Linked DNA regions of Astyanax mexicanus. The main gene of each other region encodes a partner of the protein of the gene in region 4 in a complex. Links are inferred from orthologs where the notes say so. Each region holds a gene or a part of one and is shown on either strand. Other genes may lie near its edges. The genes, in order: ncbp3, srrt, ppargc1b and nuclear cap-binding protein subunit 1.

Region 1 (7,975 bases), on a different chromosome or scaffold from region 4:
CTTTTTTTCCTGAGCTGTATATCATGTCTTATTTTCTGAGTTTATTGGCTCATTACAAGTAAAAAATCCAATATTACCACACCCTATCATTTGATTACTGACATTCATGTTCTGCAGTAATCAGATTATGAAGTGCATCTAAAGGCACTCAGTGATGCATTGATTCAGTAGACTGGACTGGTATCAGGCTAATGTTAAACTCCATATTGAATATTAGTGACATTTCTTAGTCACTGATTTTATAAAATGTAATTGTAACCTGTATCTTTAGGCATTTCAGACCCTACTGGCAGCAGTAGACCCAGGTGGAGGCAAATCCATGCGAAACCAGTCAGCATGAGTTGCTTAAACATTAATAAATCATGCTGTGTGTATCTGCTGTGTTTGGCAGGGGCATTAGTGAAACAGCAGTGACGAGAGACCAGGAGCACTGTGTGAAGTCACATCAGACACTGGCTGTGGAATGACACCACATCGCACTGAGGAGGAAGGACACTGGAGATGAAATTATTTCTAAGGCTTCGTCTGCCTCTGAGGCAGCGTTTGTTGTTGGACTGCACACACTTTATAAACACTGATTACACACTCGCTTCAAATTTGGAACATTAAACCACTTCAAATCATGTTAACGTAGAACATTACGCCTACGCCTTTCTCCTACAACACAAAGGCTTCTGAGAAGTTCCTAAAAGGATGGTGTTAGAGCTTATGATAGCAATAGATATATTTTGTAGACAGTGGACAGTGACAGTCATGCAAATTAGGATAAAAGCATCATATATTTTATTCCAAAGCACAAAACATTCTCCCACATTTCCTCATTTATCTCCAGCCATTGTTCAGATTGTGCACATTTGTCACATTTTATGCTGGTGGCAGGAAAGACAGCGACAAACTGCCTCTGCTAAATCAGGGGAATGAGATGAGAAAATGACTTCGTTTTTTTCCTCACATCTATTTCTATGCTTAGTAAAGGGCATGCAAGATTCAGATTCAAAGAGATGGAATACATTGTAGTACATTACTCAGTTGAGTCTGTTTTTTCACATTAACACAGAAAGCGATAAATGGGGTCTATGAGAATGTTGTTTAATTTTAGTTTCAGTACTGTGCACACTTTTAGGCACCTGTACAAATTATTAAAAATTTAAAAGCTCCTGATCTGGGCAATAAGAGTTTATTTACCCAATAAATTAATACTAGAATTAATACAATGAACAATAATCAATACAGACACCATCCAAAAGAGAAACAACAGGTGCGCAAAATGAAGAGTCTATGGCATCAGTGCGTCTCTATGAGTGCTAAGTTAATTATTCAGCTATTATTCATAATGCAGAAACTATGTGGAGATGCACAGGTTTATATTATAGGGACTTTAAATCTGATGTTATAATAAATAATAATAATAAATAATAATAGTTATAAGAGTGAAAAACTGAAGTGTGGGCTTACAATACAGGGTCTAGTAGCATTATAAATTTTAAGGTAATGTTAAAAATTACCAGTGAAAACTCAATAGACTTAATTAATATTTTAGTACACATAGAAAATGAAAATGTCTACACCTTTTAAAATCATATTTACAAAATTCTCCCACTGTGTGCTTCAACTCTCTCCAACACTGTTACAACTAGTGAGACTGTATTAATTTCTGTTTTAATTTTAATGTTTTAATTGGCGGTAACTTTAGGAAGGGGCTTTACTCTTACAGCTTTAAATCAGGTGAGCTTGAACTGAAATCTAAAACCAAATTGATTTAAAAAATGTTATAAATGTGTTATAATGTGAAAAATTCTTATTGCTGAGATTAAAAACCTCATTTTGTGGCTAAAACGTCGAGGGAAGACATTTCTTGACCATGTTAAACCACCAAACTTTCCAATCTAAAGGTTTCCAGCCAATGTCTTTCATCCATCAACTCAAACAACTACAGTGAAATTGGGTTTAAAGCTATTAGTTATTCAGCTATTAGACATTTTCCAGCATTTGCACAAAGTGGTTCTAAAGAGATTAACTTTACTCAGTTAATACTCCACCAACTACAGACCTTCTTATACCACTCATAGTATTTATTCTAGTTTCACAAGTGCTGTATTCGATGCACAAAACAAACTTGAGCACAGTATTTGTTTATATCAAGTCAAATAAAAGCAGAAATGCCATAACTTACTTAAGATTAGCTGTTTTTGGATAGTGTCTTTTTACAGGCTGATGAATCATAAATATGTTTTACTGTTTGCCGCTTGTTTGGCCTCAAGTCGTCACTATGAATTGACCAAATCTGCTAATCATACCTGTCAAGTTTTGGACTTAAAAATAAGGGAAATTTTCCGTCACCTGCTTCGAGTCGCCCACCAACCCAACCGAGGTTCAGAATCCCTTATATTTTAAGACAGGTTTACAATAAATCTAAATAACCACCTGGGAACATTTTACAAACTACAATTAGATTATCAAAATCTGACAGGTCTATCTTTGTTGACACTGAAATGTTGTGGACATTCCTACATATGTAATTCTTATAATACTGCCTAAGTTAAACCCTTTTCTAGACATTTACATGAAATCATCAGCTTTTACAAAAATGACATGGACCAGATATATTGCATAAGTAAATATTAGTCCAAAGGGGCCTAAACAATTAATAATTTAATTAATACTTCTTTCTATTGATCAGTCCAGTCCTGTCAGTCAGTTAATTTCAGCCCTCTTCACATTTTCTCTCTCCAGATCAACCATCTCTTTTGCCCCTTCTAAATATTAAATTACACCACAATACTCTTAAACTAGCCCTGAACTAATAAAATAAATACAGTTTCGTTCATTATAGCTTACAGTAGGCCTGCAAACCTAAATTAATAAACACAGTTTGAAAATGAAATAGTTATTGGCTGATCAGGGCAGGTTGAACATCTAATTGTAAAGTTAAGCTAACTGAGTCACAAGCTGTATTTTCTTAAGCACACAGTCGGTTTGATCCGACTGTTTCAGAAACAACGTCATCATAGTTTACATGTTTAGCTCCGTTACCTCGCTGTATATCCAGATATGCTTTAACGTCAGCTGCTCCGACTAGCTCTCACAGCGAGGGGGGCGGGGCTTTCCTACATTGCGCTCCGCGAAACCAGGAACCTGATTGGCTGTTTCACCTGAAAGGCGGGACTTTCTCCTTGAACCGGCACTACCATTGGTTAAGAGACACACAGTGACCAGTGCCCTGTCGCCTCATTAGTAAAGTTTTTTTTTATATATAATACGGGAAATTTACTGGAAAATACTAATACGGGAGGACGGCGGGAAAGAGGAGTAAAATACGGTAGTTTCCCGGCCAAAACTTGACAGGTATGCTGCTAATACAACCATGTCTGATGTTTTTACCCAAGAATGCCTTGTTGCAGCTCATTAAAACACCTACCTTCATCCACAGACATGACATTCCAGAAGCTGCACAACTCTTCACATCGTCTGTAAAATCCACATGGCTGGATCTCGTCAGCCTTTCTGCAAATGCAGCGCAACAGACCAAGAGTTTCAGTACCACTTGCATTTTTATTGGCTGTACTGTGTATGTTAATTCATTATTCCATGACTGACCTTGCTGTACAAATGTAGGATGATCTCACCTGTATGTATATGTATTGTGTAAATTTGTTAATGCAGGATTAGAAAATCAGAATATGGCCAAACAGAATTTAAAATCGCACATGTTTATAAACAGCTCTAATGTGTGACACTGTTTTAGAAAGAAAATGAATGTCTGTATATTCTCTGGGAAAGATGTATAGAGAAATATTTTGGTTTCTTGTGGTCTAAATGATTCCTCAGATGTTTTAATTTATTTCACTATGATTGTTCTGCTATATGTTTAAATGTATCTTTATGACTGCTGATTTTTCCAGAATAAAAATTGTATTTTGCATATGTTTTTTCATCTTTGTTTCCCATAAAGTGTTCTTATACAGTACACTTGAATGAATGCATGTCCACAACTTATTAAAGTGTGAAAACAAGATCTTGACTTGTGGCCATAACTTAGTAAGGCGTGGGAACAAGATCTTAATGCATGGCCACAACTTAGTAAAGCATGGTAATGAGATCATATGTCATGGCCACAACTTCTTAAAGCATGAAAACAAGATCCTTTAGCATGGCCACTACTTTTTAATGCATGGTAACAAGATTCTAAATTGTGCCCACAACTTATTAAAGCGAAAAAACAAGATCCTAAATTGTGGCCACATCTTTTTAAAGTGTGGGAATAAGATCTGTATAAATGGTCATGACTTATTAAGGCGTGGAATCTAGATCCTTATGCATAGACACAACTTGTTAAAGCATGGAAACGAGATCCAGTTCATGGCCACAACTTACTGAAGCATAGAAATGAGATCCTAAATTGTGGCCAGAACTTAATAAAGCATGGGAACAAGATCCTAATATATATATATATATATATATATATATATATATATATATATATATATATATATATATATATATATATTTACATTTTGTCACTTCAGGGGCCCCATACAGTACTCATGTAAATAGGGCAGGTTATAATAACATTATATGTTAAACATAATTATTATATTATTATTATTATTATTATTATTATTATTATTATTATTATTATTATTATTATTATATTATTATTTGTATACCTTGATAGCTATTGTAGAGGCTACACTATGCTAATGACCACAGAAGATCCTAATGCATGCCCACGACTTAAAATTAAAGCGTTGGAACGACTTATATGGCCAGGACATAATTATCTCGTTCCCACACCTTAATAAGTGATTGTCACGCATTGCTATTTTTTTTAATATTATTATTATTTTCTTTTACATAATGTCAGTTTAGAGGTTCTGTACCGTACTACTGTGGAGAGGGCGGGTTATAATAATCTGCTACGTTTTCTCTCTCTTTCTCTCTGTCTAACAAGTGGTCTCTCCATCTGGCTGCTACAGTAGAGTGCTGGCGCGCTAGAAGCCTGTGGTGCCCGAGCCTGCGCTCTGTGTCCGCTATAGCAGCGTTAGTTAGCTCGCTAGCTTAGCTCGCTGGGTTTTACTCCGCTGTGTTCAATGAGACAGACGTTAGCGCGGAGCTCCCGTTGTTAGCTAGCTGGATGTCATGGCGGCTGTTCGCAGTCTGCGGGTGTCCGTGAAACCCGAAAGCGCCTCGGACCGCTCGGACTCGGATTCAGACTCCGACTCGGATCGAAATGCCAGAGAAGCGGAGCCCATGGAAGTGGAGGAAGGCGAGGTCGAGTTCGAGTCTATCCCCGTCCGCCGAAGTTTGAAGGAACTGCTACCGGTGAGTTTAGCTAGGCCTCAGTTAGACCGCGGTGTGTCCTGCTGAAGGAGGCCGATGGATGTCGCAGCTCGGCCGCTACGGGAACTGGAGGATAAGCGTTCTTAGCTAGCTAGCTAACCAACACTACACAGACACGTCTACTGTCATATAACATAGCTAACTAGCCTAGCTTAGCTTACTGGGTCTCATGCGTTACGCAGCTTGACAGTGTTAGCTACATTTCCATCCGTAAATGAGGGATTTTATTATGTTGTTTAACAAGCTTAGGCGGCGCTCTGTAGCTAACCTAGTTAGCTAACTAACACGCTATGAATTACCTAGCTATAATAACGTGTTGTAACGTTAGCTCAAGTCCCAAGTTTTGATGCTAATGCTTGTAATGCTATGTAGCCCTGCTAGCTAGTAGAGGTGGGTAACCCAGGTCGGGAAAGTAAAAATCCAGCCCAGTGTTTTGAACCAACCGCCTCGTCTGCTCTGCGGTTGGTTCAGGCAGTTTGATACAAAATCCTGGGGTGGAATTTTACTTTCTAGACCTAGGTTACTCACCTATGCTAACTAGCTATCGTTAGTCATGTTCAGTTGTTGATTATGAAAGATGCTTAACAGAAAACTAGGAATTAAATAATCTATATTTTAAAGCCTTCGTTTGCCGTTTTCGTTATTAAGCAGTTTTATTTCATAATGTTCTAGTGAGTTATTATATTGTGTGTTGTCAGTTTTACATAGTTAGCTTGGTCTAAGCTAGTTACCTGGCTACTAGCTCGCCAGATGGCTAACTTCTCTTTCTTGTGTTTCTGAGGGTTTGGGTTCTTTTATAATATTATAGTATTTAACTTATTCTTTTTCCTTTCTTGCCTTATAATAAACATTTATTTCACTCATTGAAGTATTAAAGTATTAAGGATTTTATATTAAAAGTTTTAGATCAGTTAAGTTAGTGCTGTAGCATCATATGGCAAGCTGTTTTAGTCAATAAATACACCAGTGATATCCAGGGTAAAAGTAAATGAATGGTAACGTTACTGGACAGATGTAATCTGTCTCTAGTAGATTATGGAAAATGAGAAGAGTGAGAAATTTTCCTTTGCTAAAAACAGCAAAAAAGTAGTACCCTCATGTAATAATTAGGGTGGGTAATATGGCACGATATTTCAGGGTATAATATCGTTCACAATATAAAAAAATGTTGACGATATTATTGCGTACGATATGATATGGCACAACCCTAATGCTAAGTCATAATGTGAAATACTACCCCAGACTTAGTACCTCAAAATAATGACTTGGCATTTCATAAAATAATGACTTAACATCTAATAATTATTAGTTAGTGGAGGCCCTTACTTTTTCCAAGAGGCAGAAATAGGCTTGCAAAGATATCGGCTATGAAATGTTGTAATGATGTCAGATCTAAAGATTAATAAAAAAGGACTGGACGATATTACCAAAATTTATATCATATTTTTAGTTTCGGTCGATGCAATATAATTCCTATACAGTTACAATAAAAGCCTCTTGACTTGCCTTCGGTATCAATATGAACAGCATAAAACCCACCACCTGTGATGTATGTGATCATGCACTGACAGAGTTGGGAGAAATAGTAAAATATTATATCACTTCATCAAAAATGGTGCATCACTCCATCTGTAGCAAAACAAGCATGACATTTTTATTCAGTTTTTTTCTGCACATCACAAAATGAAACATTTAAACTTTGCAATAAAAAGTGCAGCTTGGTCAGTGCTTTTATGCATTAGTTTTTGTATATGCATATTAAAGCATGTTGTCTATGATAAGAAAGTGTATCATTGTACAATCAAATATCAATATATTGCCCAGCTCATAATAAAGAGATTTTAGCCAGCTATATTTATACAGTGACACATTCTTAATGTACTTTTACCCAATCATATGTTACCTTAGATTTACATGGAATCTCTCATACTTCCTTCTGTAATTACATTCATACTAGTAAAGTGCAATTAGAGGTATTAGTAATTACGTTTTGTAATAGTAGTTGTGATTGCAGATGTCTCCACTGTGATTCTGCTATAGTTTTAAATATCAGTAATCTTATTATTAGTAAAAATCATTTGATAGTGACTGTTATACAGATAGGAAACATTACCTGTATAGTTCAAAAATCTGGCTATGTTGTTTACTATTTTGTGCTTTCCTCAGGACACAAGCAGACGATATGAAAACAAGGCTGGCACATTTATCACTGGGATTGATGTAACGTCCAAGGTAAGGGTCTTCTGTTTCCATTGTGACATTAAAAAGCTCTCTTAATATTGCTTGTCATTTATTTTCTTGAACTTTATTTGTTTAGGAGGCAATTGAGAAGAAGGAAAAAAGAGCAAGGAGATTCCACTTTCGTGCAGAGGACAATCTTGCTCAGAGAAATGTTGTTCTGGACAGAGATCTGATGAAAAAAGGTAAGTACTCCACTTGAGCTAAGCTGAAATTGAATGGCATTAGTGTTTGTGTAGGCGTAATGATGAAAGACCATTTGTCCTATGTGATGTGAAAATTCAGTGACCTGTTCTTCAATAGAAAAGCATTTTTAAATGGCACGGCTATTTATGAGCCTTGGTTCAACATTCCTGATGCCAAGTATTGGCTAGATGGATTTTAAACCCCCAGCTTT
Region 2 (7,345 bases), on a different chromosome or scaffold from region 4:
TGTGTACCAGTCTCTCCTCATGCGTTTCTGCTGGGGGCTCATGTCGTGTCTGGGTGGGGAGAATCTCTCCCTCCTGCCCCTCTCGTAATCCCGGTACTCCCCCCGGCTACGTCTCTCTCGGCCCCGGTCCCACTCTCTCGCCGACGGGCGCCTGCAAACCACAAACACACAAAACACACATAAATAATCCTGCAAGCACTTTTTAATATACGTGATATACGTAACTTATTTTCTGTTAAAATGGTGCTGAATGTTACAGGACATGTCATAAAGGCTAACTGAAAAACCACTGCTCTGATTCTTTTCAAAGTAAACTTTTTCTCTTAGATTAAATCAACGTGGTTTGTTTTTTTGTACTATAGGCCTATTTGGACTGGATTATTTTCTCAGGAGGTTCTGGGTAATTTTCTCTTTTATGTTTTTTTTTTTATCCTCGGTAATTTTATTTCCGTCCAGAACGATCATGTTCGTGTTTTTCACAGACGTCCTCTGAACTCTTTTTCGTGCTCCTCCAGTAATTTTAGTCCCCTCTGGACGCACATCTTCGTTTCGTCTCACCTTTAATAAAATAGATATTTGTCCACTGCTGCGCACCGTAATTACACTTTGGACGTGCGTTTCCAAGGAGATCCACATTAAAAACAACAGTGTGTGGAAATGGAGGAGCTACTGAACGTGAGGTCATGTGACTGAGAAAAAAGCCTAAAAACCCCCTGGTCATCCTGTTTTTACAATTGCAGTCCGGATGCAGGAGTTTTATCACTGAGTAGAACAGTGAAATATTTTTCACAGGTGTCCCCCTGAGAAACTAATTCCGTCCAGACAGGGCTTTAGACAGTTTTCCTAAAACAAGCGAAAAACTAAAATCTCATATCACCAGGTTGTTGCCAATACACAGCCCTAATTATCAGTGAAATATGAGACCAGAGTTTTTTCCTTTTTAGCACCAATGTGTTAAAACCATGAATGTTTATACTTTGAAGGTTTCCAAGTAACAGTAATGTGTTAGGAACACACTAAAACGTGAGAAACACAAGAACTCGGGTTGGGGAACCCCTGTTATAAACGGTTATTAAGTTCTTGTACTAAGTTATATTAAATTCCCAGCTGCTCACCGGTCACTCCAGTCGTCTCTCCGCCGGTCCTCCCTCTCTCTGGAACGGTCATAATCGCTCCTTTCCCTGCGGAATTTATCCCTGCGGCGGCGATCGTACTCATCATCACTGTCTGCCATCACGCCCAATCACCAACCAGTCTCAGATCTCACTAATAAAGAAAATATACAAGAAATAACATCAACTTCAATACAGAATGTGGAATACAGATCTCTAAAAGTGATCCTCAAGGGGGTCTAGTATTATAAGCTGGAAAAAAAAAATCCACTTTTAATAATGTGACTAAACCCCATACATTACGCATATACACACACAAACATTTATCAAGACTGAGCATTGAATAAGTATTTTTTTAATTGACTGTTCCACCTTAAATCTACTACAGTTACACTGTACTGCAACCAATGTCACGTTTACAGTGCACGCAACAGCATAATTTAAGGTGGAACAGAACATTCAGTAATAAACTTAACATTGGCAAACTATAGCACAATTTACTAAGTTAAATAACTATATAACATTTAAGTAAGTGAAAATAGCATTGCGAACTGGCTAGACAGTAAACTACAATACCTCTGGTCCAAAGGTTTAGAAGAACAATTTAATATTTAAAGGAAAACAAAAATAACTCCAATTCACACAGCACAACGTGAAACAAAATATTGCAATATTAAAGCTAAACCCTCCATTGGTACATATTGTAAAAGCTGTGTTTTCACACCTTGGCACTAAATAAGAAAGTTTTCCGTTCCACCTTAAATTTCCCCATTGTTTGCACTGTAACGGGGGCATTGGTTGCAGTATGAAACTGTTGCAGATTTAAGGTGGAAAGGAAAATTCAATGAGCCTGTTTTAAAGGTGATAAACTTCACAATTGTGCACTATGGTACAATTTACATGTTTAAATAGCTGTATATAAAAACTTAACACAATAAACAAGATTTAATAAAGGATATCTGAAGCGATTAGCACTGCTAGCTAGCATAGCTAACTTACCAGTTAGCAAGCTAACCTAGCTAACGCTAGTTCTGCTCCAAACGTGTAGAATAATTTTATATATTAAAGCAATTTAGGCTTCAAAAAAAGTATTTAACTCAAATATTCAGATAAAACGACATACACTCTATGGTTATCTTAGCTAGCTAGCCTAGCTAGAGCAAGTAACGTTAGCTTAGCTTATTATACAAGCCTGTCTGTGTTCCAATACGAGCAGTAGACTAGCTAACATGCTTACCTATATTTGAACGTTTGTTTGAGATATTACACAGATATGAACGTACCATTTATTAAATATATCACTTATTTAACTAATTTTACTGACAAATGAGCTACATACGTAACTGTTCCTTAAATATGTAGCTAGATATCTCAAAAAACAAGTACGCTTAACTACGCACCCTACTCAGGCACCCTACCTAAGTGTGTTTTCTCTCCCATAGGAGTAAACTTAAGCTTTCTCCATAAACACACTAAACAATGAATCTGTCAGTAAAGAATCAAAACACTTTAAATCAGACTAAACTACTCCCAAACACCCACTAAACAGATAAATAAATAAGTGTACAGTTAAGGGCGCGAGTGCGCTTATTGGAGCACGGCCCAGCTATAGGCTGGCTAGCTCGCTAGCTTCACTCTCGAGACTACAGAACAAAAGTAAAGGAACAGATTAGCCCAAAATACGTTTCTATTACGCTGCTTTCCACATACAGAACCTTACACAAACTAGAATATGGGTGTAAAAGGTATAAAAACAGTAAATAAACAGAGACAAAGGCAAGAAAAGCCGCGGTACCGGTAACTACTCGGTAAAATCCCGCCACCCGCCGCGGTCTCGCTGCAGAACGGACGAAGCAGGCTCCCGGATGTTGCACTGATATCACGCAGCAGCGCCCCCTCCGGCCAGAAGAGCAAAGCGCAGCCCAAACACAACACTTCAGAATCAAAGTCTGTATATACTTATAAAGTAAATTATGGTAAATTTAGTTTAATTTAGGTAATATATAATCAATCAATCAATCAATCAATCAATCTACAAAATAGGTAAGTACGTTCATAATAGGGATGCACAAAAAGGATTTTTATGTCTAAAACCAAAACATGTAAATAACTAAATAAAATATTTATCCCAAAGGCTGAATATAAATAAAGTGTATAAATTATGCACTCTTTCACATATTAAAAGTAAAAGCTGTATCTTAAGTAAAACAATATTTTTAGCCAAAAACTGGCCTAAAATAAATAAAAGATCCAAACGCAGATAATTAATGCATTGCTTATAAATAGACAATTAAATAAATACATAAAAAAATAAATCAATAAGTAAAAAAAAAGATAGAAAGGGATAGAAGGTAGAAAAATAAAGAAATTGAAATAAATGAATAGGCAAATACATAAATCAATAAACAAATAAAGGTAGAAATGAATTGAAAGAAGAAAAAGAAAGAAATAGACAAATAAAGAAAGAAAGAAAGAACGAAATGAATAGACAAATAAATAAATAAATCAATAAATTAATAAAAATAGAAATGAGTAGATGATAGAAAAATAATACATTAATAAAGAAATGACTAGACAAATAAATAAATCAATAAGTAAATAAATAATTAAAACAATAGCTAAATAAATAAATACATTTAAAAAAAAAGACCTTTGCAAAAATTAAATATTTTTCGAACGAAAGCATAGTAAGATTCATAGTAATAAAACATATAGTAATACTGATTGATATAAGTTTTATAATGAGCATATATCTTGTAAATAAATATACAAATAAAACAATTCTGCCTATTAATTACACTGTAAGAAAATTTAAGGAAATATATCATAAATATTCCCTTAATTTAATAAGAATATAAGTGAGAATCTGTATAAATATGCTCTGATTTGTGTGTTATATGTAATAATAAATGTAATATATAGGAGGGATGTGGTCAGTAAAGGGTTAAAGGGGTTTAAAGGGGTTAATCCAGGTCCAGTCAGCTGATCAGTGTCGTGACTGTTCAGCTCTGCTTCTGCTCTGTTCTCATAGTAAAACGGTAAGACAAGCTCGATTTCAGCCTTATTTTACTGTTTTATATCGATTTATTCATGTAATTGTGTTTTTTAGTTGATATTTCTCGTTTTAAGCTCGTTTTTAATTGATTTTAGCTTTTAACTGCTCTAATTTACTCGCTTGTTTTTCGAATTAGCCGTTCCACCTTAAATGTTGCTGCAGTTGCATTCTGGCGCCCGAGGCGCCAGAATGCAACTGCAGCAACATTTAAGGTGGAACGGCTAATTCGAAAAACAAGCTTATTTCAGCTTAATTTAGGATTTAATTCGATTTTAGGCTTTTATTTTACTTTATAGTTCATGTATCATTTAATTAAGGATGTCATGCATCTGTGCATTTATTAGAAATGTTAAAAATAAATCTTAAATACACAGAAATATACAAAATATACACAATATACCGCTCTAAATGTACTAAATCCATTAAAACACACACACTGCTGCTTAAAATACAACAATAAACTAATATGTACAAACCTACATATATATTACTAACACATAGCCACAAAGACACATGCATTCAATATACAGCAATATATTAAATATATAGAAATACACTTAGTATACATTGCTAAAAAAATGCTATAAATACTGCTACTAATGCAAAAAAAAGTACTACTTATACTTTAACTAATTATAATCAATATACATTAAAATAGCTATCTCTATATTTTAAATATATGTATTTCTTTCTTAATATACAGAAATACACTATGTAAATTAAGTGGACATAAATATACTAAATAAACTAAAAATACACTAAAAGCTGCTGCACCATTAAAATTATTTCTAATAGAATATTAAAAGAAACAGAAAATTAATAGATTACAGAAAAGTATTAGAATATAAAAAAAGAATATTACAATTAATTTAAGATATATTATGTGTGTTACAGTAGTCTATAAGTAGAGTCTATAATTAGAGTTAACGCCCAAGTGAGGTATTTAGAGAGACTGTGCTGAATTCAATTATAGAAACCAACCTTTATTTAAACTCAGGAGAACATTGAGGGTGACCCTTATTTACAGTGCAGCCTAGCATTTACAGTTTATAACAAATTCAAGACATATATAACAATAAATAAAATAAAATAATAATAATAATAATAATAATAATAATAATAATAATAATAATAATAACCATAAAAAATAACACATAAAAAGTTAAGAATTTATCAAATTTAAAATAAAGAAAAATGCTAAAAAGGACAAATGAATAATAATCAACTAGTATAATAAGAATCTAAATAGAAAAATGAATTTAAAAAAATTACTATTTACTAAATAATATGTACTGATGTATAGATCAATTTACAATAGATACGTCGTTGTATAATTTTATACAGCAGTGTAGTATAAAATGCTATTTATTTAGTATTTTTGTGTAAAATAAACATAATCACAAAGCAGTGTTATAAGTAGATATGTTACTATATACTATTCTAATAATAAAATACAAGCAAATATACGTTATTTATTTATTTATTTATTTTAATGAATTTTATCTTTAAATTATTTGTTCACCCCTCCAATCATGTGATGCTATGATCGTCGTCTGCTAAGCTAGCTGAGGTATCAGGGTTAGCAGTTGTGTAGTGTTCTCCTCCAAGCGTGTTGAGCTGCAGTTTGGGAAGAAACACAGCACACAACAGAGTCTGCGCTTAGACAGTTACGCCACTCAGGAGCTGCTAGACGGGAAAAACGAACTTTGCTTGGATAAAATACGGTATTTAAAGCACATTTTATTTATTTTATAACTATATTCTCTCTTTTTTCGTCACTCAGACACACTCTCACTCAGGATGGATTTCTCCAAGCTTCCCAAAATTCGGGATGAAGATCGGGAGGGACAGTTCGGCTTTGTTCACGGCGTCTCCGGACCCGGTGAGTCTCTGTTCTGTTCTATTGTGGTCACAATTAGTGCTGGGCGGTATATCGTTTTATTTGATATACTGGAGGGGAAATTAAAACCGGTATGCTTTTTCACATACTGCCATACCACTAGAGGTGCTGCAGAGTGCTGTGCAGAATAGAACCACCAAAGAAGCACACTGACACGGCTCACTAGCTAACGCTAGCCAGTTAGCATAACAAGCTAACGCACTGGAGTGATGGTAGCTCATCCCTGTGGAGTCAAACACTCGTCTCGCTCTGTCTAGCCTGGAGAGAAATGAGAACAGCACTTTATCTGAAGAGCTCCTGCTGCTGTTCCTCACTGCATGAGTGTTTTTATCTGAGAAAAATAGAAAAACAACAGCAAACAGCAATTATTCACTCAGAAAAAGGAGGAATAGAATTGCGCAATCAGTCCACAGCTCTGAGAAATTTCCTCTTGTCCCCCAGATGAGCCCAGAATCGGATCTGGGTACAGAATCATTTATTTAGTACAAGAGATAAAACTCCCTAAAACTCTGGATAAGAGATGAAAATAAACTTCAAGAGCAGTAACTACAGGCCTGTTTAAATATTAATAATGTAGATGGAAGGATCATTTTAATGCACATTGAACTGAATGTATTAATTAATTGTGTGCAGTATAAATTTATTTCTAATTTTTCCCATTTTTCCCATTTACACGGCCAATTACCCAACCCACTCATTAGGACTCCTCCCCCTATCACTAGTGATGCTCCAACACACCAGGAGGGTTAAGAAGACTAGCACACACCTCCTCCGATACATGTGAAGTCAGACTCCGCCTCTTTTTGAGCTGCTGCTGATGCTGTAGCATTTCCAAGTAGCATCACAGCGCTAACGCTCGGAGGAAAGCGGTGCAGTGACTCGGTTCTGATACATCAGCTCACAGACGCAGCCTTGTGCTGATCCACATCACCCTAGGAGTGATGAGGGGAAAGAGAGAGCGCCATCTACTGTACTGTACCCACCCAGAGAGAAACTGGGCCAATTGTGCTCCCTCTGAGCGCCGGCAGCTTGATGGTAAAGCTGCATGAGTGGGGGTTCGAACCTGCGACCTCCCGCTCATAGTGGCAGCGCTTTAGACCGCTGGAGTGCAGTAGAGCTTTTGATAAATGTCTCTTTTTTTAAATGCATAAACATTGAGTGTTTTACTGTGATATAATTTTTTGATCATACCTCCCAGCACTAGTCACTGTGTTGGGTAAGAATATGTTCTGATACGTGTTTACGCCGCAGTGGTGACGGCCTCCAGCATGGCGGGAG
Region 3 (7,336 bases), on a different chromosome or scaffold from region 4:
TTGAGTAGCAGTAGGTGTGTTAAAGCAGGCAATCCTCTAAAATGTGCTGGGCACCAGGACCAGGATTGAAGAACACTGGCATATCTGATTGTACTCCAGAAAATCTTATTCAGCCACTCCAAATCTCATCTCTTTCATAAGAAAGTCAACTACAGTAGAATAAATACAGTAGCAGGTCTGGTTTCATACATTTAAATGTCATTTTTTATTCTATTACTACCCAAATAGCAAACGAGTCACACCCCAGTTCTGGTCCACACTTTTATCTGTCCCACATACTACCATGGAATGACTGAGATGACTCCGTTAGAAACTAGGTGCCAGATCACAGCCACAGCTGGCAGCAGTTGGGTCAGTTTTGAAACGAAATAGCAATGCTATTCAAGCATTTCACATGGTACGCTGCTGGAGGGCCACATGTGGCCCAGAGTTCAAATGCCATGCCATTTAAAGGTAGCTGATATGGCTAGGCCAGTTTTGGCCCACAGTACATTTGTCAGTGCTGTAACTCAGAGCCGTATTTCTTGCCTTATCTGGGCCGTATTTGGCCATAAATTAATTGCTCAATGTAATTTTTTATCATTTTTAGTTGAACTGATTACAAGATCTTTTAAAATAAGACAATATGGGCAGATCATGTCTCATATGCATAAATGCTCAATTCTGAATATCACCACAACCACATTATTTTACTACTGCCTTGTAGCCACCCAGCATATATAAACACATCACCCTTATCAGTTTATTAATTTGCATAGCAGTGTTTTCATTTAGCATATTCCCTCATTACTTTAAGAGAGTGTTTCGCAACTCTGGTTCTAGAGGTACCCTGCGCTGCACATTTATTGCTTTTCCTTCTCCCCCCACACCTGATTTAAATAATCAGTTAACTAACAACCCCTTTCAGAGTTATAGGGTGTATAAAAACAGGGAATTCCCAAGAATATTCAGGGCAGGGTGCCTGCAAGGAACAGGACTGAGAAACACTGCTCTGTAAATAACTCTTAGCCCTAAAACTAGAACCTTGTTCACATTTACAAACCTTTTTTAAAAATGGTTATATAGGAAACCAACAGTGTTTACAGGTGTTCTTGCACCAATGCTTTTTAAGATCTTTTAAGACCTCCATAAATATAATTTAATCATAATTTCTTCGGTAGAAAATAATTCGCTGATAATGTTAGTTAGCTAGCTGCTAATGTTAGCTAGCTTGCGCTAATATTAGCTAGCTTGCTGCTAATGTTAGCTAGCTCTCCGCTGACCTTTTAAGATGTTAATTACCCAGATTTTAATTTAAGACTTTTTAGGGCCCAGCAGTAACCCTGGTTTATTAGGCATTACTCAAAAAACTGTGTTCTGTTTCTTCTCAAAACTGAAAGTTAAATCACCATTTTAACAAAATACTTTAAATAAATGATCAAAACTGACAAAAAAAAACACTCATGAATTGTTTCTAGTGTTGAGCTCATTAATGGACAAAAAACATGCTTTGACAGATTTCTACATCATGGTGCATTAACCCTCTGCTGCTCTTGGCACAGCAAGTAAGCTGATTGGTTCTTTCTGTTTCAGTCAGTGGAGGGATATACTGTACTTCAGGACAATGCAAGAATACAGTATCACTTTGAGTCACAGACTTCAGTCGTTTTTACAAAAAATGTTTTTACAAACATGTTTTTAAGGAGTCAAAAGTAATTCTTGGCAGTATGGCATTGTTTAGAGAACATTGTGTAGCACAATGGCAGCCATGATAACTATTTTGGTTTGGGTGGTGTATTGTTCCAGAAATTATTTCAATAAACAATATTCATTATTATGTGATACTATGTAGCACCTTTATTTTTGAGAGCATAATAAAAATTACAGTTTTATTTAAGATACAGTCATTTGTCCAGTTACTTATGATTTTCTGAAATTAAGGGACTATCTTCTCCATGGTTTACTCAACAAAAGCGTAAATGTCCACCTATTAAAGTGGACATTCTGCACTCTGACCTCAAAGCCAGTCTAAGCTGCTGGTCTGCAGATCAAAAATAAAACCTGTGACCTATTAGCTGCACTGTGTGTTATAGTAGACAGAGTATCCTCATGCAGAGGCATGAGCAAGAAAACAGAATGTCAATAAAGTAAATTGCCCTGCAGTTTCCCCCAGTGACCCATCCAAATAGTCCATTATAAAGAAACCCCATCAACCGTTGTGTCTGCGAGTTAGAATCACGGACAGGTGGAAAATTAACAGGTTCTTTTAGAGAGTGTAATTGCTGATTTCCTGATTTAGGGCTGGTGTAAAGGCTGCTGACAGGCTGTTTGCTGCTCTAATTTCCAAGTTGAGAATAAATGTTCTGAGTTTCTGGATCAAAGAGTCTATACTCTACATTTATCCTGTTTATTCATTTTACATTTAAAGAGCTGATGTCTAGTTACATTATAACATTTTTAATTTCATTTATCTTTAACTATTTTAATTAATGTTATAGGATTGTTCTACTCTTGCTGTTTATCTATATTTATCTTTATTGTGCCTTAACAACTAAAATATGCAAATGTTATCTGCTTGAATAGCTGCTGTGTGTTGTGCCACTTTTAATTATATCTATTATAATAGATCTTAAGTGTTACTGTTACTGAAGTGTTGTTGGGCGGACTAGGCTACATACAAAAACATTAAAATTGGCTGTTTTTGCAGTTTAGTTTGCAATTATATGGACTATGGACTTTAGAACCAGTGGTATGTTTTGAAATGTACTGTATTTAATGAAACACTCACATGCTGAACATCATGGGACAGGAACAAGTATTCTGTGACTTTTGCCATGTCATGTCTCACTAAAGGTTAAAACTGTACTAACCTGCAGGATGTGTGGTTCCTTCTGCATTGATCTGCTGATGTGACTTGAAAGCCTCTTCACTTGACTTGGATTGTCCCACCTTTCCATTATCTCTTAAAGTTGTTTTGGAGATACATGCTTTGTATTGGACAGTGATGATATACAGTACCAGTCAAAAGTTTGAACACACCCATTCAATGTTTTTATTTGTGTTCCTACATTGTAAATAAATACTAAGTCGTCCAGTTCTTGACAGTTTTCAGATTGATTGACCTTCATTTCTTAAAGTATTTTTTCTTTAATATGATGAGTAGTTCTTGCATAATATGAATTAGAACATTACTCAGATAGGGCTATTCATTGTAAACCAACTCTCTCTCCTTTTCACATCACAAATGATGCTCTCAAACACATTTAGAGGGCAAGAAATTCAAGTCATAACTCTTGACAAGTTCAGCACAGCTGTTAACTGAATGCTATTCCAGGTGACTCTACCTTATAAAGCTAACTGAGAAAATCCTGCAAAGTTGCCATCCTAGCAAGTAAAACTCAACTAAATAAAAAAAATACTTTAAAAAAATTTAGGTCAGTCAATCCGAAAACTGTCAAGAACTTTGAAAGTATCCTCAACTGCAGTCCAGACCAATAAGACCATCATTGGATTCTGGTTTGTTAAAAAAAAAATTGTTTACTGAATACTTATAAATTCTTCTAAATTTGGATGACTTTAGTATTAATCTACAATGCATAAAATGATAAAATAATACAAAAAAACACTGAATTGAAGGTGTGTCCAAACGTTTGTCTGTTACTGAGACTATAAGACATTTTGTATGAATTGATTGCAAATGATATCTAAACAAACTCCTGAAAGTAAGCAAGGTGAAATAAGGCTGTTTTCCCTCCAAAATACAGGTCATTTAATAAGTCTGACCGGGAGTTAACCATATTAGTGAGCATAAGTGAATTTTTCGCATTGTGTGACCTCAGTGTAGCGGCACGGTTTGTTTACCCTAACCTTGGTCATTGTCAGAATTACAGTATCAGCCTCCCTGAAGGACAAGCTGAGCAAGTTTGGGAAGAAATGGACCGTTTAACCACAAAAATACGTGCCGTCGTTACGTTGCGTCCGGGGGGTGAAGTTCAGCTGAAAAGGACAAGTTAATTCCAGTGTGTCAGAAACATCCAGCTCCTCCACAACACGCTCCGAACAGGGAAGCGAGGCGGGAGCACCGAGCCGGGCTCTGATTGGACGAGAAGCCAGGCGTACTACAGATATGCAAAGCACGCGAGGCGAGCCGGGCTGTGATTGGCCGGCGCTGCTGCTATCTGAGCGGCTGGAAACAGTGTATTCTGGAGGGCGGGGTGTGTGTGAGTAGAGTAGGGCAGCAGCGTGTTGTGCTGAAAAGCGGCTTCCTCGAGCCAACACGTGCGCGTCCGTCACATGACTCGCGCTCACGGAGCTGCTGCTGCTGCTGCTGGCCGAGCACTGGGCAGGATCCGCGCGCACTCTCGCTCGCCTGCGCGCTCGCTCGCGCGCGCCTGTCACGCTGGTTAAATAAATGGACGGTCAGGCAGGTCACAGGAGTTTTTCAAAGTCATTTGATCTTACACAAACTTGCCTCAGACAGGGAGCAGGATCTGGCACTGAACGTCTCTGCGCCGTGCCCACGTTTGGCACAACACCCCCCCCCCCCCCCCCCATCCTTCTCCACCAATCCCACCACCATCCTTCCTCGCTTAAGATAGAGTGAAGGGCAGAGGGAGGGAGGAGGAAGACACTGAACCAGGCAGAAGATGCTGCCACACTGTGTGTGAGAAAAGAGAGAGAGATAAATAGAGAGAGAGCATTTCACCACAGTCCCATCTGCTTCCACCTCTGCTGCTTGATGTGTTTATTTCCCCCCCCCCAAATTAAACAAAACCCCCCAGCTGGATTACTGAAGGCGGATTTGGGATAGTAGGTGGGCACAGCAGCAAACAAGAAAAATTCCACACAGTCAGAATCTAGCTCAAAACGAGCTCAGCATCAGAGACCATACGTATTGTGTATTCCTTTGGCTTTTGAGAGTCAGTCTGTTATAATATCTGTTCTTCCAGCCAACATTCTTATTCATGTGGGCCTCACATAGGTTAAACATGGACTAGGTAGGTTTCAGGTTGGCATATTCTGTGAGTGTATTGGGTTTGTACATGTGCTTTTTTTTACTGGGTGCCACAAAAATGGCCCCATCATTACTGCCAACTTTAATGTCACATAGATCCCATGTGTAGGACCCAGATGGGGACCATCACTGACCATAATGGGGCTCATTTCTCTTATTAATACATGGGGCAAGTGTGGGATTCGTGGACAAAACTTTCTGGTTCTCAGTTGGGCTGCCTAATAGAGATTCGATCTCTATCCAAGCGAGTGCATGTTTTGTCTGATCCCAACCCAGCCTGACCCATAAATTATCATTATGATCTTGAGCCCGATTTAAACCTCTTTAAAACTCTTTGATTTGAGTTGTAGGTGCCTGTAATTTCTAATATTTGCCCCTTTTTAGCAGCCACGTCCACACCTCTGTTTTTAATAGCATTAAAAACCCATGCCTACGTCACAGACCATTTTTTTGAGCCAGAGATTGGGTAGGGCATCAGGTCGTTTTCAGACAGACTATTTTAACGCGGACTAGGTGGGTTTCAGGTGGGCATATGCTGTGAGTAGGTTGGCTTTGTGTTTTTTTTTACTGGAACCCAGTTTAATGGACCCCACCATTACTGCCCAACTTAACCCCATGTGTAGTGTATGATCCAGATGGGGCCCATCAGTATCATTCATAAGTGAGGCCAACATGGAACCCATGAACAAAATGATCTGGTTCTCAGTTGGGCAACCCCTACAGGCCCCACATGGTCATATTATCTGGGCATAGACCAGATTTTCTTGTCATTAAAATGCATCCCCAGAGTGACCAGATGTAAAAAGTACACCAGCACGTACATTATTTCCGTTACCGTTTTTCATCATTCTGTTCCAGGAGACTGTTAAGACTGTTAAGACTTTATGGTAATGGTGAGGGTTTTATAGCAAGGTTGAACAATAGACCTAGACGGTTCTTTCATCCTTAATATGGCTGTTTCAAAAAAGGCACCTGGCTATTTACTGTATATTGCAAGGGAACAATATCTAGCTCTCTCATCTACCAGTAGAGCCAGAGAGCAGAAAAGAGAAGATCCACAGTAATAATCATTTCAATAAATTCTAATATTTTTGTTTTATAGTATTTGCCTTTGCCTAAGGGAATCACCAAAACTCATTCAGTTTACACTTTTGTATTAAATGCAAATGTTTTTTTTTTTTCTGACAACAGCTGAATGTGATTTGAGCAATCTTAAAGGCATCTATCTGTGGTGTTTTTATAGGCTTTTTAATGCAAAATAAAAGCTAAACCAAAACCAAATCCACACGTGATTCAGTCACTAAAAACATGTTAATGCTAGGTGTAAAAAAAAGTCCTCAGTTGTACAATGTTTGTATGTGATTTCTAAGGACAAACATTCCCTTATAAGTTGCACACACAGCAAATTCATCCGTGTGAAACAAACCTGCGCTTGAAGCTGATTTGCTTTGTCTGGTTCTGTCCTAGTTCAAAACACCCAGTGTTGTTGCTGAACGCACACTGAGTTCTCTTCCTTAGAAAGCAAAGGTCAAACCACATTGAAGTTAGCAGTGTACAGTACACAGTGAATTGGGGAAGGTTTTCATGAACCGGTTAAACTCCCCCCTTTCTAGGAAAAGGTAAGTCCAACTGATTAAACTTTTAAACATAGTCTCTATCTAATGTTTATAACCCCCTCCACTCCACTCCTCCACCCCTATCCACCACCTTCCCAGAACTATGAACTTTTCCCCCTTCATCCAAAATTTCACTTTCATGTTTGACCTGACCTGGAATTCAGTGTTACTCCAGCTCACATCAAAAACAAGCCCCTGCTTTGGACAATGGCCGGAGGCCTCTCTGTTGGAGCCGGCCTTGGGTGAGTGACCTGTGGGGCCGTGTACAAAGCTGTGGAGTGACCGCTTGGTAGTGGCTATAGCGCCTGTGTACATTGCTGCATGTGTGGCATTCCTGCTTTTGTGTCCTCATTTAGTGGACTTCATTTCCCGCCAGTGTTGTCCACCTCCCGCCCAGGGGCTAAACCTACAAAGAGCACTCAAAGACTTACCAGCTCAGGCCTTAGCAAGAGCAAAACAAGTCTACAGAACAGAAAACTGGGGCCGACATCTTCCACGTGAGCGAGAGACGTGATTATTCACAGGGCAAAATCGCCCATATTAAATGACCACCTACTGAACAATGACTGACTCAACTAGCCCACACAGTGTACAGTGGAGACCACAGCAACAATGAAAGTCTTCATTTTAACAAAGATTGTTTTGCTTCATGATTCAGTTGCACTCCCTTTGTTCAAGACTGCAGAGATCCAGGCTAGTTCCAGTGTCTGCTCTGGCACATTCTTGT
Region 4 (7,647 bases):
CACAATTTAACTGAATGAAACTGTTTCTATTTACCTGCTAACCTGTAGGAAATTGTATCTGGATCCACACCCATTGGGACAATTTCTTTGTAGACACCAACCTTAAGTTCAGAAAAGCACTCTGCACCACCTTCACTGGTCTGAGAGCAAACCCAAATACATATGTTTATTTAATATGAGATAAAATATTCCCTTATTAGTACAACAGCAGGCAAATTTTCAATATTACAGCAACACAGAGGACAGGACAAAAGTATTAGGAAATATGCATTTGTATTAATATATAAAAAATACTGGAATCTTTTTAAAAACAAAAATCTAGAGAATATAAATCTATAGACACTATATGATTGGAGGAAACATGGTTCTCCGGTATGTGTGTTGTAAGAAGTTACTAGTGATATTCCAGTTAACAGTGAATAAATTAACAGTAAATAATAGGGGATGGCATGATGGCTGCAAGTAATTAAATTTGCCTGCATTAAATTATAAGTGGTGTCTCTTTTTTTATAGAATCTTTTTTTTTGTATTGCTAGATAATTATATAAAACAAACAAAGAGTCAAACATTATTTTTAAACAGGCAAATCTGATTTGACCAGCCCTAACAGACAATCTCATTTGCAGGACTACCTTAAAATCTTCCACTTGCATTATTTTGAAAATGGGGTGTGACAGCATCGCCTTGATGTAAAGCTTTGTGGCCGTTTTGGTTCCACCAACTGTTCCATTAATGCCCTCAGTGGCCACACGCACCTGCAGGAGGAGCACAAGTTCCAGAGTAGTGTAACAGCACACTGTGACAATTCATGCACATGTGAAGATTCTCATCAGGAGGAGAGCACTGCGTTTACCTTGCCAGTGAGATGAAGTCTTGAACACAGCTCAGACTGCCAAGAACAAATCAGCTTGGGATCTCGTATTTGGCAGTAGCTGTAATACAGGAGGACTTCACCTGGACCTCTGGAAGAGGGCAACAAAACTAATATCAGCACTAGTTAAAATATGGGTTTTAAACAAGTGTCATCAGAGAGGGTGCCCTGCTTATCTAGGATTACAATGTTAACAGTAGATCCATTGAGATCTCTCAGGTACCAGTGTTTTGGATTAATTCACAGATCTTGCACGAATCCAGATCCAGACACAAATAAACAGTAATATTTTGACTAATCGATTCATATCTTTCTACTCTAATATTATTAGAATTGGCAATACTTTTGTTACATATACAGCTCTGGAAAAATTCTGCTTCTGAATCAGTTTCAATGTATAGGTATATGTTTGAGTAAAATGAACATTATTATTTAGACATCATTTCTCCCAAATTCCAAATAAAAATATTGTCATTTAGAGCATGTATTTACAGATCTCAAATAATGCAAATAAAACAAGTTCATATTCATAAAAATCAATATTTGGTGGATTAACCCTGTTTTTTAATCACAGTTTTTATGCATCTTGGCATATTCTCCTTCACCAGTTTTACACACTGCTTTTGGATAACTACAAACATTCAAGCAGTTCAGTTTGGTTTGATGGCTTGTGATCATCCATCTCCCTCTTGATTATATACCCCATACATTGCCAATGTTGGAAAAATTTGTAAGAAAAAAAACCAAAAAATTTTAATGGTCAGTAAAAAAAGAATTCTTTTCCAGTTTATTTCTGAGCATTTTTATGTGTACATTCATCATGAAATGCTAATATAAAGAATAACTCAAGAAAAACTCTTTTTTTTTGCCTAACAGTAAAATAATCATATACTAAAGGAATCTCTTACTTGCTGAGCTCCTCCTCAGAAAGATGGCTTGTGCTGGGTATCCAGGAGGCTGGATCGTCTGATTGGCTCTCATTTGGGTCTTCTTGCTTTTGAAAAGCCTCCTCGCTCTGGCTCAGCATCTGATCCAGGGCCGCAGTGGTGAGCTGCTCGATCTCTTCAGCGTGGAGGTTGGAAACATGCTTGTGGACTGAGGACGGGTCTGAAAAGGTCTCGTCACAGCACTGCCAAACCGGTGAGGTATCAGTAGGAGACGATGAGACCCTCTTAGACGCCACAAATGTTGCAAAAGTCTGAAAGTCACAGAAGACTATTGTGAGTGCAAACAACAATAAACATAGAGCAGTTTCTTAATGTAAACTTTACAAACGTAAGTTAATTCTTATTATAGTTAAACAAATATTACATTGTTCATGTATTAAGTTTGAAAATGTCAATATTTGAGATGGCAACTGAACCTCTTTACTCTCTTTGCATTTATTATGCTTCTTCCATACAAATATTAATTCTAAATAATTTCTGCATAAAAAATATGCAATGGGGGTGGGCGATATGGCCCTAAAATAATATCACAATATTTCATGGTATTTTTGTGATAACGATACCCTTGGCAATATGAAAAAACACTGAATTAAAAATATATATTTCAACATATATTTCAAACGTTTTCAACATTTATTGTACTGAAGTTTTTTTTTTTTTCAGGTCAACACTGAACCAATGCTATGTTTGTTTGTAAACAACTATATTGTAAAGAAAATTATATATACTGTGTATAATTATATAGCTTGCACCATGTTCTTGCAGTGTAAAAAATTACATAATAATAATAATAATAATAATAATAATAATAATGATTTTGTTTAAGGGGGAGGACCTTTTACTTAAAAACATTACAAACAAACTGATGCCTATGAGGCAAAACATAAGGACTAACGTTTATTTAACGTTATTTACCATCAGTGAACCAAAATATAAACAACATATGTATTAGGATATATACATTAAAAAATAATAAACTAAAAATTATTTACATCAGTTGCAGCAGAGAAGCCTTTACATGTAGACAGTGCAGATATGTTTAATAAATGTCAAATCTATGTATATGTTTTAAAATTGTGCACTGTTTTAGTGTTATGCAACCTGTGAACTGTGTAGAAAAGTGTAGACTAAATAAATATATAAAAACTATAAATTAGGAGTTTAAAAAGTGTCACATTTAGCTAACTATTACAATGTAACCTAAGCTAATAAACTTACCCTCTTCTTTATGTAGGAGTAGCACTTTCGAGTTGTTGAAATCTCGCACTTCTCATGCTTTAGAGTCCCGGCAATAAGAGTCTCCACATCCAAATGAATAAGAACAGACTCTGCCAGATCTTCACTGTCCATATTAATCTGAGTATCAGCTGATATATCTCTACACGAGGTAATACTGCAGACTACTGATCATCACACTCTAAACACACTACAGCTCCCTAAATCAACCACAGGAGCCATACAGGGGGTTATAATATAAATCCCAGGCTGTTCAGACCACAGTAAATCCTGATTAAATGATCAGAAATAAATCAGTTACTAGTTTAAGAGCTAAAACAGATAAACAAGGGTTATTATAAAACTCCTCTCTCCGCCATGCAGTTCTGCTGCTGCTGCTACTGGCGTGTCGGCAGAGCCAGAGCTGCTTTACGGAGAGACTGATCACTTCATATCACCCCCGAAATATCAGTAAACCCCTGCATGCCGCTAGAGGGAGCCAGCGAGGGAGTCCTCAATGAATAAGGGTGAATGGAGCTAAATGGCTAAAAACTCAAATTTAATTAGTAACAAACTACTCGTCTAGGATATTCCTTTATTTTAAAAGTAGAGAAAGTCTTTCACTAAAAAAATAGGAAAATATAAATAAGAAAAAATCTATCTGTATATCAGTGGATACTGTAGGCAGAACATGTTTACGAGGTCCAGACTTGAGTGCTCTGTCCAAAAAGTGACTTAAATAGAAGTTGAAGTGTTCTTTAAGCTTGTACTAAGTGGAAGTACTAAAGTTTTCAACATTTTTTGTGGAAGTACTAAAGTTTTCAACATTTTGTGTACTTAAGTGTTGCAATAATAAATAAATAAACTAAATTTTCTGTAGCTATTGCAGAAACCTGTGGAAAATTCTCAGTGTGAAAGGCAGAACAATACAGGACTCAATTTGTTCTGTGTTTCCATAAATCTCCAGTACACATGTCTGTCACACACACATCAACACAAAATCTTTATCTCAATTTTAATTGACCCTTTCATCCAGCTTCGTCTCTGTGTGTTGAGAAGTCTGACTGCCTAGTGGATGAAGCTGTTCCAGAATCTGGTTGTTGAGGCTCGGATGCTCCAGTATCTTCTGCCCCCACCTATCCCTTACAAGGATTTTCTTTTGTACATCTTTGCTTTGATGTCGTCCGGTAGAAGATACCAGAGCATCAAATGCTGTGGTTTTCCTTGGTCTGCTGGTTTGCCATCTGTTACTTAGTACACCAGTGATGACTTTCTTATACAGGAATACACCTTACAGTCAAGTTTCAATATTTTAGCTTACAAAAAATTGGGTGGGTTAAGATAAAAGGTTCTATCTTTTAAATTGTGTATCAGGTCCAAATGTAAATACCTGTTATAAAAGCTGAGATGTTGGTCTTTTGCTTCATAATCTGTTAATGTCAAACTCAAATGGTTTCAGTCTACAGCAGAAATAAAATGATTTGCCTCAGTGTTCCATTAATTTTGATGGGCACTATACGAGTAACACGTTCTTAAGTGGGTATTCTCCTCTGTGTAGACTCTCTGGTTGAGCTCCTGCCGCTCCGGAACAGTATCTAAACAGTCCCGCCCTCTTTTAGTTTTCCACGGTGGTGGCGGCTCGCTGCTGTAGCTTCTGCAAATTTTTAGCTTCGGGGCTCCAAAAAATAGGAGAATAAACCTGTAAAAATAACACAGGAGGACTTCAAACATCTGTAGACCGATAACCGAGCGCTGAAAGATGTCTAGGAGAAGGCACAGCGACGAGAACGACGGTGAGTGCGGAGTTGTGTGACGCCGTTTGCTCGGCTAGGCTGGAGTTTGTCTTATTTAGTTAGCTAACTAGCTACCTTTCAAATTTTCCGGTCCACCTTAAATAGAGCCCCAGTTGAGGTTCAGGAGTCGGGGGCTGGCTTTAGGTGTTTCGTTGCGATCGTTGCGCTGTTTAAGGTGGAATGGAGAGTTAGCTTAGCTACCTAGCTTCATGAGTTGCTGTTAGCTAGCTATTTTAGCGGTTTAGGTAGATACTCTAGCTAGGGCTAGGTTAGCTAGCTAACTAATACCCTTCTTTAAACAATGGCGCAGGGTAGTTTAACAGAGTATAGCGATTTCTGCAGGTATTATTTGGCTATTTTTTGGATATATTTTGCGTTTTCTTGGTTTAATTACTAAACTTTTAATCATTTGTACTTAAAACATGGTGTTCGAGTTGAAGCTAACGGAATAGCTAACTAGCAAGCTTAGCTAAGCTAGGTTAACGTTAGCTAGCTAATGCTAACACAGGCATGCTGTTTCACTGCCATTTCTCCTCAGGAGGCTCAGAGCTAATTTTCCAACAAAAAAGATAATTATTTAGCTGTTACCAGTATGTATACTCCACATCGTGCTCCATTTAGCTTTTTAAGTGTTTACCTAAAGCTCGTATGTCTTTGTGTAACGGTGCTATATCGTCCTCCCTCCTTTTTTTAATGAGACTAGACTCAGTGTTTATTATTCGCACAGTGAACACATTAATACATTCTATTAAACGAATGCTCGATTATTTTAAATAAAATATCTTTCGCAATAAAAACTATTTAATACTAACTTATAGCTACAGTACCAGTCAAAGGTTTATACACGCCTTCTTTTTCAGTGTTTTTCTTTATTTCTTTAACTGTTAACACCTTGACAGGCCAACATTTTTGTCATTTTGTTATTTTTGCCTGATATTACACTCCTAAATCTTAAGAATTTCTATACAAGCATTATATGAAAAGGTTTCCCGTTTGATTATTAACGTTTCTACAAATTCTAATTATACTTATAATATATATATTTTTAAATGTAAGTAAACCTGCAATTTTAACAATATAATGAATAACAATCTTGAAATTGCAACTTTCCTAAACTTCATTTTAAAACCAGTATTTCCTGAATACAGTATTTCCTGAATGTTCTCTACACCTTTCGTTTCGTTACAATTGTTTTTTTTTTTCTGTGTTCAAACCTGCAAAATTTGGATTTGATCCTGTTGCTGATCTAAAATGATTGCGTTGAGGAGAGTGTGAACAGGCAGCTTCTCCTAGTAACCTGTAGGAGTCTTCAAAGCCCTCAACGTTGTCTGAATGTGAATAATCCTATTTTACTGCAGAGAAAAGGGCTTTTGTCATCTACATTTTGTAGCCTTTATACGTTCCAAGGCCTGTAAAGGGGTTAATTAATTTTCTACAGTACATATAAATATTAAAGACATGGGAACAATTAAAGAACACATATATAGAACTCTGAATTAAACAAAACAAATAAAGTGTTTGTCCTCCACAATTCCTTAATCTAAACCCAACTAAGATGGTGATTTGGGATGAGCTGGAGTTTCCCAGTGTGAAGGAAAAGCAACAACTATTGTAAGAAACTTCCTGAGAAAATTCCAATAGTGTGCAGATCTGTTCTAAAAGCTACATAAATAAAAATATTTTATACACATGTCCCCGTATAGCTATAATGTAATATAATTAATGACTTTTTGTTAAAACACTGTTTTTATGTATGGTCTTAATACTTAAAATGTAATTTTTCTCTTGAATGATTGCACTATTGTTATCATTTTACCGGTGGCATTAGATGATCATAAAATTACAATTTTGCTACAATTTCTGAAAAGTGGTAATCATGAGAGGTCTTATTGAGCAAACTATTTGTTAAATTGAGGAAAGGGGGCCTGTTTCTAAATATTGTTATAATACTCAGTGACAGTACATTCAATTGCAGTGAGTAAGCTAAAAGGTACTTCAAAATGTGCATTGTGGTCTCTCTTCACAGTGAATGCATATGGTGGTTTTAGTGAGGATTCTGTCCTGTTCACTTCTTGCCAGCTCTCTTGGGTTCTAATTCTTTCCTTTGGTTTAATGATTAGTACATGCATTCATGAGCAGATGTAGTCTGAATTTGCAGTTATGGTGCCTCCATGTTCTCAGTAGTTCTTGTATCATCATCATTAACAAAAGTTTAACAACCACAAAAAGCTTCTGGGACCTACCAGACCACCCTGTTTTAAGAATAAATATGTGGCTTTGTAGGAATGGTATCAGAAGCACAATAATGACATTACAATATTTACAACATCACAATGTCTTCCCATTCAGGAGCACAACTACTTTCAGTTTATATCAAACAAATCTTGAGGACAGCTGCTGTTTAATATGTTAAGTTAGAGTGTATTTTGTTAGCAGATGCTCCTATCTAGGACACTGTAAAAATAGTACAAGCCAAACTACTGTAGAGTACCTGTGTGTACCTAGTGATGACCACTGACGTGGTTCTTATTTGCTACCTGTAGTATCAGTTTCTTGAATTTGTTTGATGTGGAACAAGAGTGTGTGTGAATTACCATGTTAAAATCAGTGTGTTTCTCTCTTGCAATACAGGAGGTCAGCCTCACAAAAGGAGGAGGACATCTGAGCCAATTGAAATCGAGGACCGACTAGAATCACTGATATGCAGAGTTGGAGAAAAGGTAAGACCACAGAACATTTTAATGCTCTCCTTAAAGCTGAGGATGAAATTGTCAATAAATTATAATTGTTAGCTTTTTGTCTTATCGTTACTAGAATGCTG

What was found.
Region 1: the proteins of nuclear cap-binding protein subunit 1 (region 4) and ncbp3 are in contact, whole or in part, in a cryo-EM structure (PDB 8BY6), measured with the Homo sapiens proteins. The link is inferred for Astyanax mexicanus from reciprocal best matches to the Homo sapiens genes NCBP1 and NCBP3. Residues at the interface, in NP_002477.1 of Homo sapiens: Lys330, Ile377, Glu378, Cys380, Lys381, Pro384, Pro388, Gln389, Ala392, His420, Asn423, Phe424, Gln425, Arg427, Trp428, Ser429, Glu431, Asp432; in NP_001107590.1 of Homo sapiens: Glu572, Asp574, Glu576, Leu577, Gln578, Ala580, Trp581, Gly582, Leu584, Ile585, Lys588, Glu589, Arg592.
Region 2: the proteins of nuclear cap-binding protein subunit 1 (region 4) and srrt are in contact, whole or in part, in a cryo-EM structure (PDB 8PMP), measured with the Homo sapiens proteins. The link is inferred for Astyanax mexicanus from reciprocal best matches to the Homo sapiens genes NCBP1 and SRRT. Residues at the interface, in NP_002477.1 of Homo sapiens: Tyr461, Gln463, Lys511, Lys557, Ser558, Ser560, His561, Ser564, Ala567, Lys568, His570, Lys607, Ile609, Arg610, Thr611, Gln612, Met648, His651, Glu705; in NP_056992.4 of Homo sapiens: Asp857, Pro858, Arg859, Val862, Glu863, Tyr864, Arg865, Asp866, Leu867, Asp868, Ala869, Asp872, Asp874, Phe875, Phe876.
Region 3: the proteins of nuclear cap-binding protein subunit 1 (region 4) and ppargc1b are in contact, whole or in part, in a crystal structure (PDB 6D0Y), measured with the Homo sapiens proteins. The link is inferred for Astyanax mexicanus from reciprocal best matches to the Homo sapiens genes NCBP1 and PPARGC1B. Residues at the interface, in NP_002477.1 of Homo sapiens: Glu26, Asp29, His30, Ser33, Leu34, Lys37, Val38, Lys41, Ser42, Ala43, Cys44, Asn49, Gly52, Leu53, Val56; in NP_573570.3 of Homo sapiens: Tyr1006, Glu1007, Ala1008, Met1009, Asp1010, Phe1011, Asp1012, Leu1014, Leu1015, Lys1016, Glu1017, Ala1018, Gln1019.

What each region holds. Positions count from the first base shown.
Region 1 is NC_064424.1:10,355,155-10,363,129, forward strand, and holds the start of ncbp3 (nuclear cap-binding protein subunit 3), read left to right. Parts: upstream 1-4,963; 5' UTR 4,964-5,139; coding exon 5,140-5,322; intron 5,323-7,506; coding exon 7,507-7,572; intron 7,573-7,657; coding exon 7,658-7,763; intron 7,764-7,975. Other genes in the region: rap1gap2b (rap1 GTPase-activating protein 2b), read left to right, coding at 392-400. UniProt on the Homo sapiens protein: Associates with NCBP1/CBP80 to form an alternative cap-binding complex (CBC) which plays a key role in mRNA export. NCBP3 serves as adapter protein linking the capped RNAs (m7GpppG-capped RNA) to NCBP1/CBP80.
Region 2 is NC_064408.1:1,332,123-1,339,467, forward strand, and holds the start of srrt (serrate RNA effector molecule homolog), read right to left. Parts: upstream 3,015-7,345; 5' UTR 2,908-3,014; intron 1,267-2,907; 5' UTR 1,235-1,266; coding exon 1,116-1,234; intron 152-1,115; coding exon 8-151; intron 1-7. UniProt on the Homo sapiens protein: Acts as a mediator between the cap-binding complex (CBC) and the primary microRNAs (miRNAs) processing machinery during cell proliferation.
Region 3 is NC_064417.1:38,406,801-38,414,136, reverse strand, and holds the start of ppargc1b (peroxisome proliferator-activated receptor gamma coactivator 1-beta), read right to left. Parts: upstream 3,019-7,336; 5' UTR 2,937-3,018; coding exon 2,850-2,936; intron 1-2,849. UniProt on the Homo sapiens protein: Plays a role of stimulator of transcription factors and nuclear receptors activities. Activates transcriptional activity of estrogen receptor alpha, nuclear respiratory factor 1 (NRF1) and glucocorticoid receptor in the presence of glucocorticoids.
Region 4 is NC_064409.1:65,453,161-65,460,807, reverse strand, and holds the start of nuclear cap-binding protein subunit 1, read left to right. Parts: upstream 1-4,636; 5' UTR 4,637-4,792; coding exon 4,793-4,826; intron 4,827-7,457; coding exon 7,458-7,546; intron 7,547-7,647. Other genes in the region: thiosulfate sulfurtransferase/rhodanese-like domain-containing protein 2, read right to left, coding at 35-140, 633-755, 854-962, 1,780-2,069, 3,037-3,168. UniProt on the Homo sapiens protein: Component of the cap-binding complex (CBC), which binds cotranscriptionally to the 5'-cap of pre-mRNAs and is involved in various processes such as pre-mRNA splicing, translation regulation, nonsense-mediated mRNA decay, RNA-mediated gene silencing (RNAi) by microRNAs (miRNAs) and mRNA export.